Callithrix jacchus: one gene and its partners. The protein of the gene in region 3 purifies or fractionates together with the protein of the main gene of each other region. This does not show direct contact. Links are inferred from orthologs where the notes say so. Each region holds a gene or a part of one and is shown on either strand. Other genes may lie near its edges.

Evidence for each region.
Region 1: the proteins of SINHCAF (region 3) and TNRC18 purify together in Homo sapiens (affinity purification with mass spectrometry; 3 studies listed by BioGRID and IntAct, counting the BioPlex papers as one, with this or other methods). This does not show direct contact. The link is inferred for Callithrix jacchus from reciprocal best matches to the Homo sapiens genes SINHCAF and TNRC18.
Region 2: the proteins of SINHCAF (region 3) and ARID4B purify together in Homo sapiens (affinity purification with mass spectrometry; 3 studies listed by BioGRID and IntAct, counting the BioPlex papers as one, with this or other methods). This does not show direct contact. The link is inferred for Callithrix jacchus from reciprocal best matches to the Homo sapiens genes SINHCAF and ARID4B.

What each region holds. Positions count from the first base shown.
Region 1 is NC_133503.1:17,199,686-17,203,335, forward strand, and holds part of TNRC18 (trinucleotide repeat-containing gene 18 protein), read left to right. Parts: intron 1-1,034; coding exon 1,035-1,199; intron 1,200-2,444; coding exon 2,445-3,650.
Region 2 is NC_133520.1:50,011,063-50,014,712, forward strand, and holds part of ARID4B (AT-rich interactive domain-containing protein 4B), read left to right. Parts: intron 1-1,029; coding exon 1,030-1,127; intron 1,128-2,741; coding exon 2,742-2,976; intron 2,977-3,307; coding exon 3,308-3,477; intron 3,478-3,650. UniProt on the Homo sapiens protein: Acts as a transcriptional repressor. May function in the assembly and/or enzymatic activity of the Sin3A corepressor complex or in mediating interactions between the complex and other regulatory complexes.
Region 3 is NC_133510.1:40,189,350-40,192,999, reverse strand, and holds part of SINHCAF (SIN3-HDAC complex-associated factor), read right to left. Parts: intron 1,669-3,650; coding exon 1,518-1,668; intron 1-1,517. UniProt on the Homo sapiens protein: Subunit of the Sin3 deacetylase complex (Sin3/HDAC), this subunit is important for the repression of genes encoding components of the TGF-beta signaling pathway.

The DNA.
Region 1 (3,650 bases), on a different chromosome or scaffold from region 3:
CCCAGGCTCCTACCAGGAGCCGCCTACCCTGGCTCTCGCCCTCCCAGCCCAGCTCTGGACTCTGTCTGAAGTCATTTGGAGTGACGGGATGGAAATGGCAGAAACCATGGGTGGGAACTCCCATGAGATCCCAGGGCTCCCAGTTCCTGAGTCCTGGGCGCATGAGGACAGCACAGGCCCATAGGCCCAGACCATGGGAAGCTGATCAAAAAATGTTATTGGCCGGGCGTGGTGGCTCACGCCTGGAGGCTGAGGTGGGTGGATCACCTGAGGTCAGGAGTTCAAGACCAGCCTGGCCAACATGGTGAACCCCTGTCTCTATGAAAAATAGAAAAATTAGCTGGGCATGGTGGTGCATGCCTGTAGTCCCAGCTGCTTGGGAGGCTGAGGTGGGGGGATCGCTTGAACCCAAGAGTTCAAAGCTGCAGTGAGCTGTGATCGCACCACCGTGCTCCAGCTTGGGTGACTGAAACTCAATCTCTAGAAAACAAACAGGCCAGGCATGGTGGCTCACACCTGTAATCCCAGCACTTTGAGAGGCCAGGGCGGGTGGATCACATGAGGTCGGGAGTTCAAGATCAGCCTGACTAACACGGAGAAACTTTACTAAATATATAAAATTAGCTGGGTGTGGTGGTGCACGCCTGTAATCCCAGCTACTCGGGAGGCTGAGGCAGGAGAATCGCTTGAACCCGGGAGGTGGAGGTTGCAGTGAGCTGAGATTGCACCATTGCACTCCAGCCTGGGCAACAAGAGCAAAACTCCATCTAAAAAAAAAAAGCATCTGTATCTGCCTATCCCAGTTCCACAAACTGTTTTATTTTACTTCATTCATTCGGGAGCCTCTGGCTACTTGCTATAGATGGGGCTTCCCCTGCTGGACCTCACAGCCTGTGGCGGGAGCCTGCCGGGGGTGAACCACCTGGCATCGGTTGCTTCCGACCCATCCCTGATCCCCGGGACTGGCTAGGGTCTTGGACGCTCCAAGCTGGGGAAGCCAGGCCTGATGAGCCACTCTCTCCTCTGTCCCGCAGGTGCTGAGCCGTCCCCGGCACTCCTGGTGCCGAGTGCCAAGCGCCGCAGCCGGAAGACCAGCAAAGACACCGGGGAGGGCAAAGACGGGGGTACAGCAGGGTCGGAGGAGCCAGGAGCGAAGGCCCGTGGGCGTGGGCGGAAACCTAGCGCCAAGGCCAAGGGTGGTACGTTGGCCTGGGCCCCAGGGCAGGGGTGGGGGCGGGGCTCCTTTGGGTATCCAAACTCAGGGCTTGGGGACCTGCCCAAGTGCCTGCCTGCTGTCTCTGTAAGAACTCTGGGCCGGGCATGGTGGCTCATGCCTGTAATCCCAGCACTTTGGGAGGCCAAGGTAGGTGGATCACCTGACGTCAGGAGTTCAAGACCAGTCTGGCCAACATGGGGAAACCCCGTGACTACTAAAAATACAAAAATTAGCCAGGTGTGGTGGCAGGTGCCTGTAGTCCCAGCCACATGGGAGGTGGAGGCGGAAGCGCTTAAACCCAGGAGGCAGAGGTTGCAGTAGGCCATCACGCCATTGTGCTCCAGCCTGGGCACCAAGAGAGAAAGTCTGTCTCCAAAAAATAAAAACCTCTGCACTGCGGGGCTGTTCTGACCAGGTGGCAAATGAGGAACTGAGGCTGAGGGAAGCAGGTTGATCTGTCAGAGGCAGAGCTGAGCTGCAGTGGCCTATGTTTCTTTCCAGAGTCCAGAGAAAATGCTTCATGCAAGCTGAAAGCAGAGGCTACTAGAGGACCCTCTTTGGGGCCAGTATAACTTAAGGTTGATATAGGGGAGCCGCCCAAGGAGGTCCAAGAGGGCCGCAGCCAGGTATAGGGGTTTCCCCATGTTGGCCAGACTGGTCTTGAACTCCTGACCTCAGGTGATCCACCTACCTTGGCGCCTCCCAAAGTGCCGGGATTACAGGCATGAGCCACCATGCCCGGCCCAGAGTTCTTACAGAGACAGCAGGCAGGCAGTCTTAAGAAGTAGCCCAGGATGGAAACCAGGCCTTTCTGCCAGGCGCGGTTTCAGCCAGGCCTTTCTGCCCACACCTATAATCTCAGCACTGTAGGAGGCCCAGGCACGGGGATCACTTGAGCCTAGGAGTTCAATACCAGCCTGGGCAACATAGCAAAACTATGTCTCTACAAAAAAAAAATGATAATACAAAAGTTAGCCAGGCATAGTGGCACATGCTTGTGACTTCAGGTTACTTTGGAGACTGAGGCAGGAGGATCACATCAGCCCAGGGAGGTTAAGGCTACAGTGAGCCATGATCATGCCACTGCACTCCAGCTTGGGTGACTGAGACACCATCTCAAGAAAAAAAAAGCATCCCATGAAAGCAGGCCTTTTCTGATGAAAGCCACAGCTCATCTGCGAGGAAGCCCCCACCCCAGCCTTTCATCTGTTTTCTTTTGTTTTTGCAGACAGAGCCGCTACCCTGGAGGAGGGGAGCACAGCAGATGAGGTCCCCAATACCCCCTTGGCCCTGGAGCCAAGCAGCACCCCAGGTTCCAAGAAGAGCCCCCCAGAGCCTGTGGACAAGCGAGCTAAGGCCCCCAAGGCGCGCCCGGCACCCCCGCAGTCCAGCCCTGCACCACCTGCCTTCACCAGCTGCCCAGCACCCGAGCCCTTTGGGGAGCTGCCAGCCCCTGCCACCGCCCTGGCCCCAGCACCTCTCATCACCATGCCTGCCACACGCCCCAAGCCCAAGAAGGCACGGGCAGCTGAGGAGTCAGGCATCAAGGGCCCTCGGAGGCCAGGGGAGGAGGCTGAGCTACTTGTCAAACTGGACCACGAGGGCGTCACGTCACCCAAAAGCAAGAAGGCTAAAGAGGCCCTGCTACTGCGGGAGGACCCAGGGGCTGGGGGCTGGCAGGAGCCCAAGAGCCTCCTGAGCCTAGGCAGCTACCCTCCAACAGCCAGCAGCAGCGAGTCCAAGGTGCCCTGGCCCAAGGCCGTGGATGGGGACCTCGCCCAGGACCCTGGGCCAGGGCTCACATTTGAGGACTCTGGGAACCCCAAGAGCCCGGACAAGGCCCAGGCTGAGCAGGATGGGGCCGAAGAATCGGAGAGCAGCAGCAGCAGCAGCAGTGGCAGCAGCAGCAGCAGCGGGTCCGAGACAGAAGGGGAGGAGGAAGGCGACAAGAACGGGGACGGGGGCTGCGGCGCTGGGGGCCGCAACTGCAGCGCTGCCAGCTCCAGGGCAGCCTCACCGGCCTCCTCCTCCTCCTCCTCCTCATCTTCCTCCTCCTCCTCCTCCTCCTCCTCTTCCTCCTCCTCTTCCTCTTCCTCGTCTTCTTCCTCATCTTCATCTTCCTCCTCTTCTTCGTCGTCGTCCTCCTCTTCCTCGTCCTCGTCCTCGTCCTCGTCCTCGTCCTCCTCCTCTTCCTCTTCCTCCACCACAGATGAGGACTCTTCCTGCAGCTCAGATGATGAGGCGGCCCCCGCCGCCACGGCTGGTCCCTCTGCACAGCCAGCGCTCCCCACCAAGGCCACCAAGCAGGCCAGCAAGGCACGGCCCTCAGCCCACTCTCCGGGCAAAAAGACACCCGCGCCCCAGCCCCAGGCGCCCCCGCCACAGCCCGCACAGCCTCTGCAGCCCAAGGCTCAGGCCGGGGCCAAGAGCCGAC
Region 2 (3,650 bases), on a different chromosome or scaffold from region 3:
AACATGGTGAAACCCCGTCTCTACTAAAAATACAAAAAATTAGCTGGGCATGGTGGCGCTTGCCTGTAATCCCAGCTACTCGGGAGGCTGAGGCAGGAGAATTGTCTGAACCAAGGAGGTGGAGGTTGCAGTGAGCCGAGATCGCGCCATTGCACTCCAGCCTGGGTAACGAGTGAAACTCCGTCTCAAGAAAAAAAAAAAAAAAAAAAAAAAGAATATAAAGGCTATTATCCTTTAAGAATATAAAGGGATTAAGCCAGGAAATGTTTGTTGAACTGATCTGAAGAAATAAGATTGACAACGATATACAGTACATATCCAATTGAGAATGTTCTGTGGAATAAAATACAAATTTCTGTAGAACTGCTTTCATTTGTTAGATTATATATTTTATGAGAAATAATAAATCCTTTAAAAATGCTTGTCTTCATTTTTTTTTTTTTTTTTTTAATTAAGAGCCTGAATATTTTTTGTATTTTCTATAACTGGGTTTATTTAAAAGTCAAATGGGGCCAGTTATGCCTGTAATCTTAGCACTTTGGGAGACTGAGGTCAGAGGATTCCTGCAGCCCAGGAGTTTGAGACCTTCCTGGGCAGCATGGTGAGACTCCATCTCTACAAAAAAAAGGTTTTTAATTAGCCAGGTGAGTTGGTGTATGCCTACTGTCCCAGCTACTTGGGATGTTGATGCAGCAGGATCCCTTGAGCCCAAAAGTTAGGGGCTGCAGTGAGCTCTGTTTGTACCACTGTTGCTGCACTCTAGCCTAGGCAATAGAATGGAATCCAGTTCCCCTCCCCGCCAAAAAAGTCAAATGGCCTAATATTTCAATATTTGTAATTCTGTGATATTTGTCAGAGTACTAAAACCCTTACTTGTAAACCAAATTTAGAATTTATCAGGATTTAAAAAAAATTCTTTTGAGACTAGGACCAATAAATTAAAAAAATACTCATATATACTGTGTCTATCAAAATGTTATTATATTAACACCTTTTAATTTGGGAATTTTGTTTCACTTTGTCCATTAGATTGAAAGTGGAGCTGTTTGGAAACAAGTCTACCAAGACCTTGGAATCCCTGTCTTAAATTCAGCTGCAGGGTACAATGTTAAATGTGCTTATAAAAAGTAAGTTCGTGGAACTGATATGATTATCTTCAGTTTTTTTTAACCTAGAAAGCAGGAGGAAAGTTACTTTATAACTGAGGCTAATTAATTCTTCAAAGATATCAGAAAATTTTACTAGTCATTCTGTCATAGCATTTTCTAGAATATATTCTATGAATACTAGATATATGAGAAATTCTGTGAAGAAAGTTTTTATGGCTAAGTACATTTGTCAAGTACTGCACAGAGGTTAAAAAGCTAATATTCTAAAGTCAAGTAAATCTACATTTGAATCCTAGTTCTGCCAGTTAGCTGTTTATGCCCTTGGGCCAGTTATTTATTCTCCTAAGCCTGTTTCTTCATTTGTAAAATGGGATGCTTGGCTGAGCATGGTGGCTCACACCTGTAATTCTAGCACTTTGGGAGGTCTAGGCAGGAGTATAACTTGAGGTCAGGAGTTTGAGACCAGCCTGGCCAACATGGCAAAACCCTGTTTCCACTAATAATACAAAAATTAGCCAGGCATAGCGGCTCATGCCTGTAGTCCCAGCTACTCAGGAGACACTGGGGCAGGATAATTGCTTGAACTCAGGAGGCGGAGGTTGCAGTGTGCTGAGATCACACCACTGCACTTCAGCCTGGGCAACAGAGTAAGACTGTCTTTAAAAAAAGCGGGATGGCAAGGGGATGCTGCTGCTTGCCCCAGGATTACCATAATGACCAAATGAGATTTACTAAGGGGTCCAGCCTCACACATAAGAAATGTGCAACAAATAGATGTTATTGCTAATACTTTTTTTTTTTTTTTGAGATGGAGTTTCGCTCTTGTTACCCAGGCTGGAGTGCAATGGCATGATCTCGGCTCACTGCAATCTCCGCCTCCTGGGTTCAGGCAATTCTCCTGCCTCAGCCTCCTGAGTAGCTGGGATTATAGGCACGCGCCACCATGCCCAGCTAATTTTTTGTATTTTTAGTAGAGACGGGGTTTCACCATGTTGACCAGGATGGTCTCGATCTGTTGACCTCATGATCCACCTGCCTCGGCCTCCCAAAGTGCTGGGATTACAGGCTTGAGCCGCTGTGCCCGGCCTTGCTAATACTTTTAATATCGGTTATTGTTAAGAGTCTGAGCACAGTTTTTTAAATGATTTTTTTTTTACAAAATATTTTATTTGCATTGAAAAGATTAGAAAGAACTGGGATAGGCTGGGCGCGGTGGCTCAAGCCTGTAATCCCAGCACTTTGGGAGGCCGAGGCAGGTGAATCACAAGGTCAACAGATCGAGGCCAGCCTGGTCAACATGGTGAAACCCCGTGTCTACTAAAAATACGAAAAATTAGCTGGGCATAGTGGCGCGTGCCTGTAATCCCAGCTACTCAGGAGGCTGAGGCAGGAGAATTGCCTGAACCCAGGAGGCGGAGGTTGCGGTGAGCCGAGATTGCGCCATTGCACTCCAGCCTGGGTAACAAGAGCGAAACTCCATCTCAAAAAAAAGAAAGAACTGGAATAAATTAGAATGTTAATGTGGCTCAATATCTAAGAGTTTAGACAAAAGAAATGAATACACATTAAAAATAATTCTATAGTTATATTTTGAAATGTTTTCATCAAATGTAATTTCTCTTCATGTTCCAGATATTTATACGGTTTTGAGGAGTACTGTAGATCAGCTAACATTGCGTTTCAGATGGCATTGCCAGACAAAGTCGTTAACAAGCAGTGTAAGGAGTGTGAAAATGTAAAAGTGAAGGAAGAAAATGGAACAGAGACCGAAGACATAAAGACTGAGGAGGAGAGAAATACACTACCAAAAGAAGAAAAACCTACTGAGGATGAAATTGAAAGAAAGGAAAATATTAAGCCCTCTCTGGTAAATTAGATATTGTTAATTGCCCTTTGCCTTCTTTGGTATATTTTTTACATCCTCTATAAAGTTCTAAAATCAATATACTGTATAATATTATTCTTCATTGTTTGTTTATTTTCTTTATTAAGTGCCAATTTTATATAATTTTTATAACTTCAAAATTGCTGTTAGCTATTTTTGTCTAGTGCTTTAAAAATAGCAGAGGTTTCTTAAAAGTAGTTTACAACTTTCAATATTAACATTAGTTGATACCTCCTGTTGCTAAGAGAGAAATCATGGATGTAGGTTGAAAACTTTTACTTTTGTTGGTTTCTTTCCTCTGATCTTTTTCTAGGGAAGTAAAAAGAATTTATTAGAATCTACACATTCTGATCAGGAAAAAGAAGTTAACATTAAAAAACCAGAAGAAAATGAAAATGTGGACGACAAAGATGATGACACAACTAGGGTAGATGAATCCCTCAACATAAAGGTAGAAGCCGAGGAAGAAAAAGCAAAATCTGGGTAAGAAAATTGTTTTTGGTTAAGATGCATTTTGGCTTGTTGGCTTCTTATCATTTGTTCTTTGTATGTGTATGTGTATGAATCTGATTGACAAAATATTAAATAATAGAATGGCATTTATTAATTAAATACCATTAACTTCCTTCAGAGACCCTACTGATAAAAATTTGTAG
Region 3 (3,650 bases):
TTGTTTGAACACAGGAGGCAAACGTTGCAGTGAGCCAAGATCGCACCACTGCACTCCAGCCTGGGCAACAGAGTGAGACTTAGTCTCAAAAGAAAGTTTCGTTTTAAACATTAAAGGGATGTTCAAATTTGTCAAACTCCTTCCCTGTGCCACTAAAATGTCAACACCTTCCTTTAGAAACTATCAGTGTGGGCTAGGCGTGGTGGCTCACACCTGTAATCCAGCACTTTGGGAGGCCAAGGCAGGTGGATACCTGAGGTCAGGAGTTCGAGACCAGCCTGGCTAACATAATGAAACCCCGTCTCTACTAAAAATACAAAAATTTAGCTAAGCATGGTGGCACACGCCTGTAATCCCAGCTACTCAGGAGGCTGAGGCAGAAGAATCACTTGAACCAGGGAGGTGAAGGTTGCAGTGAGCTAAGATAGCACCATTGCACTCCAGCTTGGGCAACAAAAGCAAAACTCCATCTCAAAAAAAAAAAAAAAAAAAAAAAAGAACAAGAAAGAAAGAAACTGTCAATGTGGTAAATTATGTTCGTTGATCTTCTCATGTTCAAACCAATCTTACATCCCTAGAATAAAACTAGTGGCTGATGATATATTGTTTTGATATCAAACTTATATCAGCCTTAAAAATGCCTGGGGCCTATGCCCTATTTTACCTGTACTCTGAAAAAGCAAGTGCATGGGCCCTGCATGGGCCCCAATCATCTGTTCCTGGACGTTTAGTACAACTTGCCTATTGTGGCCTGGTATTTCTTCAAGGGAAGAGAGTTCTGACCACTCAATCAACTTTCCTTTTTCTTTTTTTTTTTTTTTTAAGATAGAGTCTTGCTTTGTCACCTAGGCTGGAGTGCAGTGGTACAACAATAGCTTACTGCAACCCTAACCTCCTAGGCTCAAGCAACCCCCTCACCTTGGCCTCCCAAAATGCTAGGATTACAGGTATAATCACAACTGGCCTAAATCAATTTATTATGAGATTATCTCAGTTTTTCACTTTTTCTTGAGACAACTTTGCAAGATGTGTTTTTTCTAGTACTATACCCCCTTCGCCCGTATGTTCAAATTTATTGGCATAAAGTTGTCTATAATATCCTATTATTTTTAAATTTCTGCTTTATTTATATCTAAGTTTCTTTTCTCTTTCTTAAAATTGCTTATGTGTACCATTTCCTTTTCCTGATCCACTTTATCTCTAGTACTTTTCTGGTCATGTTTTTTTTTTGAAGGACCAACTCTCAGTTTTACTGATTCTCTCCACTGCATATTGTCTTTCTACTCCATTTATCTAAGAATAGAAAAAGTAGGTACCTTGATGTGATTTTTATTTTAATAATTTTAATAGGAAGAACATACAAAATCCCACTTCTCTGCTCAATTCCTGCTTAATCCACTGCAATCATCTGTATTACCAGCTGTTTGCCAAATGCCATTTAATTGCTAAGGAAGTAGAAAAATACTGCCTATAATTAAGATGGTTTGCTTTAGAGAGATGTTTTCTGTTTCTTTTACCTTTTCCAGTATGTGAGATCTAAAAAGGAAAAAACTGGTGTTCTGTTAGAACCAGAAGCCATCTCTGTGTCTGAGCCGTCATCTGACTGGTTACTGTAACAAGGAGATTGAGCTGGGGAGGCACTTGAGGTGGTACTGTGAGCATCAGAATCTGCAATAAAGATTAAAAGAAAAAATAAAATTCTCAATTTCACTATATGTAATTGCATCCAAACCTCAACATAAGACACTGTGAATGAGTTGGTAAAAAAAGAGACAAAGTAAAAAATAATTCATTTTCTATGCACTACTGGTATTTGAAGATATTCAGACTGAAGTGTTTTTAAAACAAAGTGAAAAGATGGAATAGACATACTTTTTCCTATTCCTCCTGCTTATACAACTAAAATCCCCGAATATTTTATATAAAATAAACCTCAGGCTCCAAAAGTTAATGACCACCTAGGGAGCTCAAGACCCAAGGTAAGCCATGGTGGTAGGTTCCTTAGTTTTTCCGGATTTTCCTTTTGTCTCATAATCCCCAGCTTTGGCAGTGAAGCAGCAGCCACCCAGAAATGCCAATGGATACAGACAACCAAAATTACAACAACAACAACAACATAAAAATACAAAACCCCAGTTAAAGCCTGATCTCTCTAGCAAAGAACTAGGAAAGGGTAGCCTAGCCAGACAGAAAACGCTTCTAGACAATAACCTTTCTGTTTCAGCCAAACCCACAGAAAAAACTATGGGCACCTTTCCTAACCCCAGCAGAGGCTGAGGTGAAGAGCCTACATTTCCACCCTCACAAGACTTATGAAGCACCCCAACACCTTCCTCTAGAGGAAGCCTAGTGAAGTCAGGCCTTTCCTTATGGCCCACTAAGTACAAGGCCACCCTCACCATGTGGGAGACTGAATTCTCCTGATACCTAGTAGTAACAAGGAGCCTCCCTCTCCCACCAACTTCAGATATGTCAATGGAGGTTGAGAGAGAAACTCCAATTCTAACACCTGGTGGTAACAGGGTGGTAGTGTCCCTCCCTCTTTCCCTGTTCTGAGGGGTGTCAAAAAAGCCAGTTAAAATAGAAGGTTTAAATAAGACTCAAAGAATCACAACATAATCTGAAAATGTCCAGGTTTCAATAAAAAAATCACATAAGTTAAATAATAAGGAAGATCTCAAATTAAATGAAAAGGCCAACACTAAGATGACAAAGATACCAGAATTATCTGACCAAGATTTTAAAGCGGGCATGACAAAAATGCTTCAGTGAGCAACTATGAACATGTCTGAAATAAATGAAACCATACCCTTGGCAAAGAAATAGGAAGCCTCAGCCGGGCACAGGGGCTCATGCCTGTAATCCCAGCACTTTGGGAGGCCAAGGTGGGTGGATCACCTGAGGTCAGGAGTTTGAGACCAGCCTGGCCAACATGGTGAAATCCCATCACTACTAAAAAAGTACAAAAATTAGCTGGGGATGGTGGCACGTGCCCATAATCCCAGCTACTCAAGAGGCTGAGACAGGAGAATCGATTGAACCCAGGAGGCAGAGGTTTCAGTGAGCCGAGATCGTGCCACTATATCTCCAGCCTGGGTGACAGAGCAAGACTCTGTCTCAGGAAAAAAAAAAGAAAGAACTAGGAAGCCTAAGTAAAAATAAAACAGCAAACCATAAGGAAAAAATAAATGGAAAATTTATAACTGAATAAAATACAATAAAGAAAATAAAAACCACAGTGGATGGGCTGAGCAACATGGAGGGGAGAGAGAAAACAGTGAACTAGAAGAATAGAAATTACCCAATACGAACAACACAGAACAAATGAACAGAGCATGAGAAACCTGTGGAGCTTAATCAGACAAACATCATTCATGCCATTGCAGTCCTGGAGGGAGAGGAAAAAAGGAAGAGAGGTGAAAAAGTACTCAAATATAGTGGCTGAAAACTTGTCAAATTTGGCGAGACATAAACTTAAGATTCAAAAACCTGACCAAAGCCCAAACAGGATAAACTCAAAGAAATCCACGCTAAAACACATCACAATTAAACCTCTAAAAACTAAACCAAGAGAAAAATCTCGAAAGCAGCCAAAGCATAATGACTTTGTACCTATAAAGGGAAAACAAGATGCTGATTTAATAAGGAAT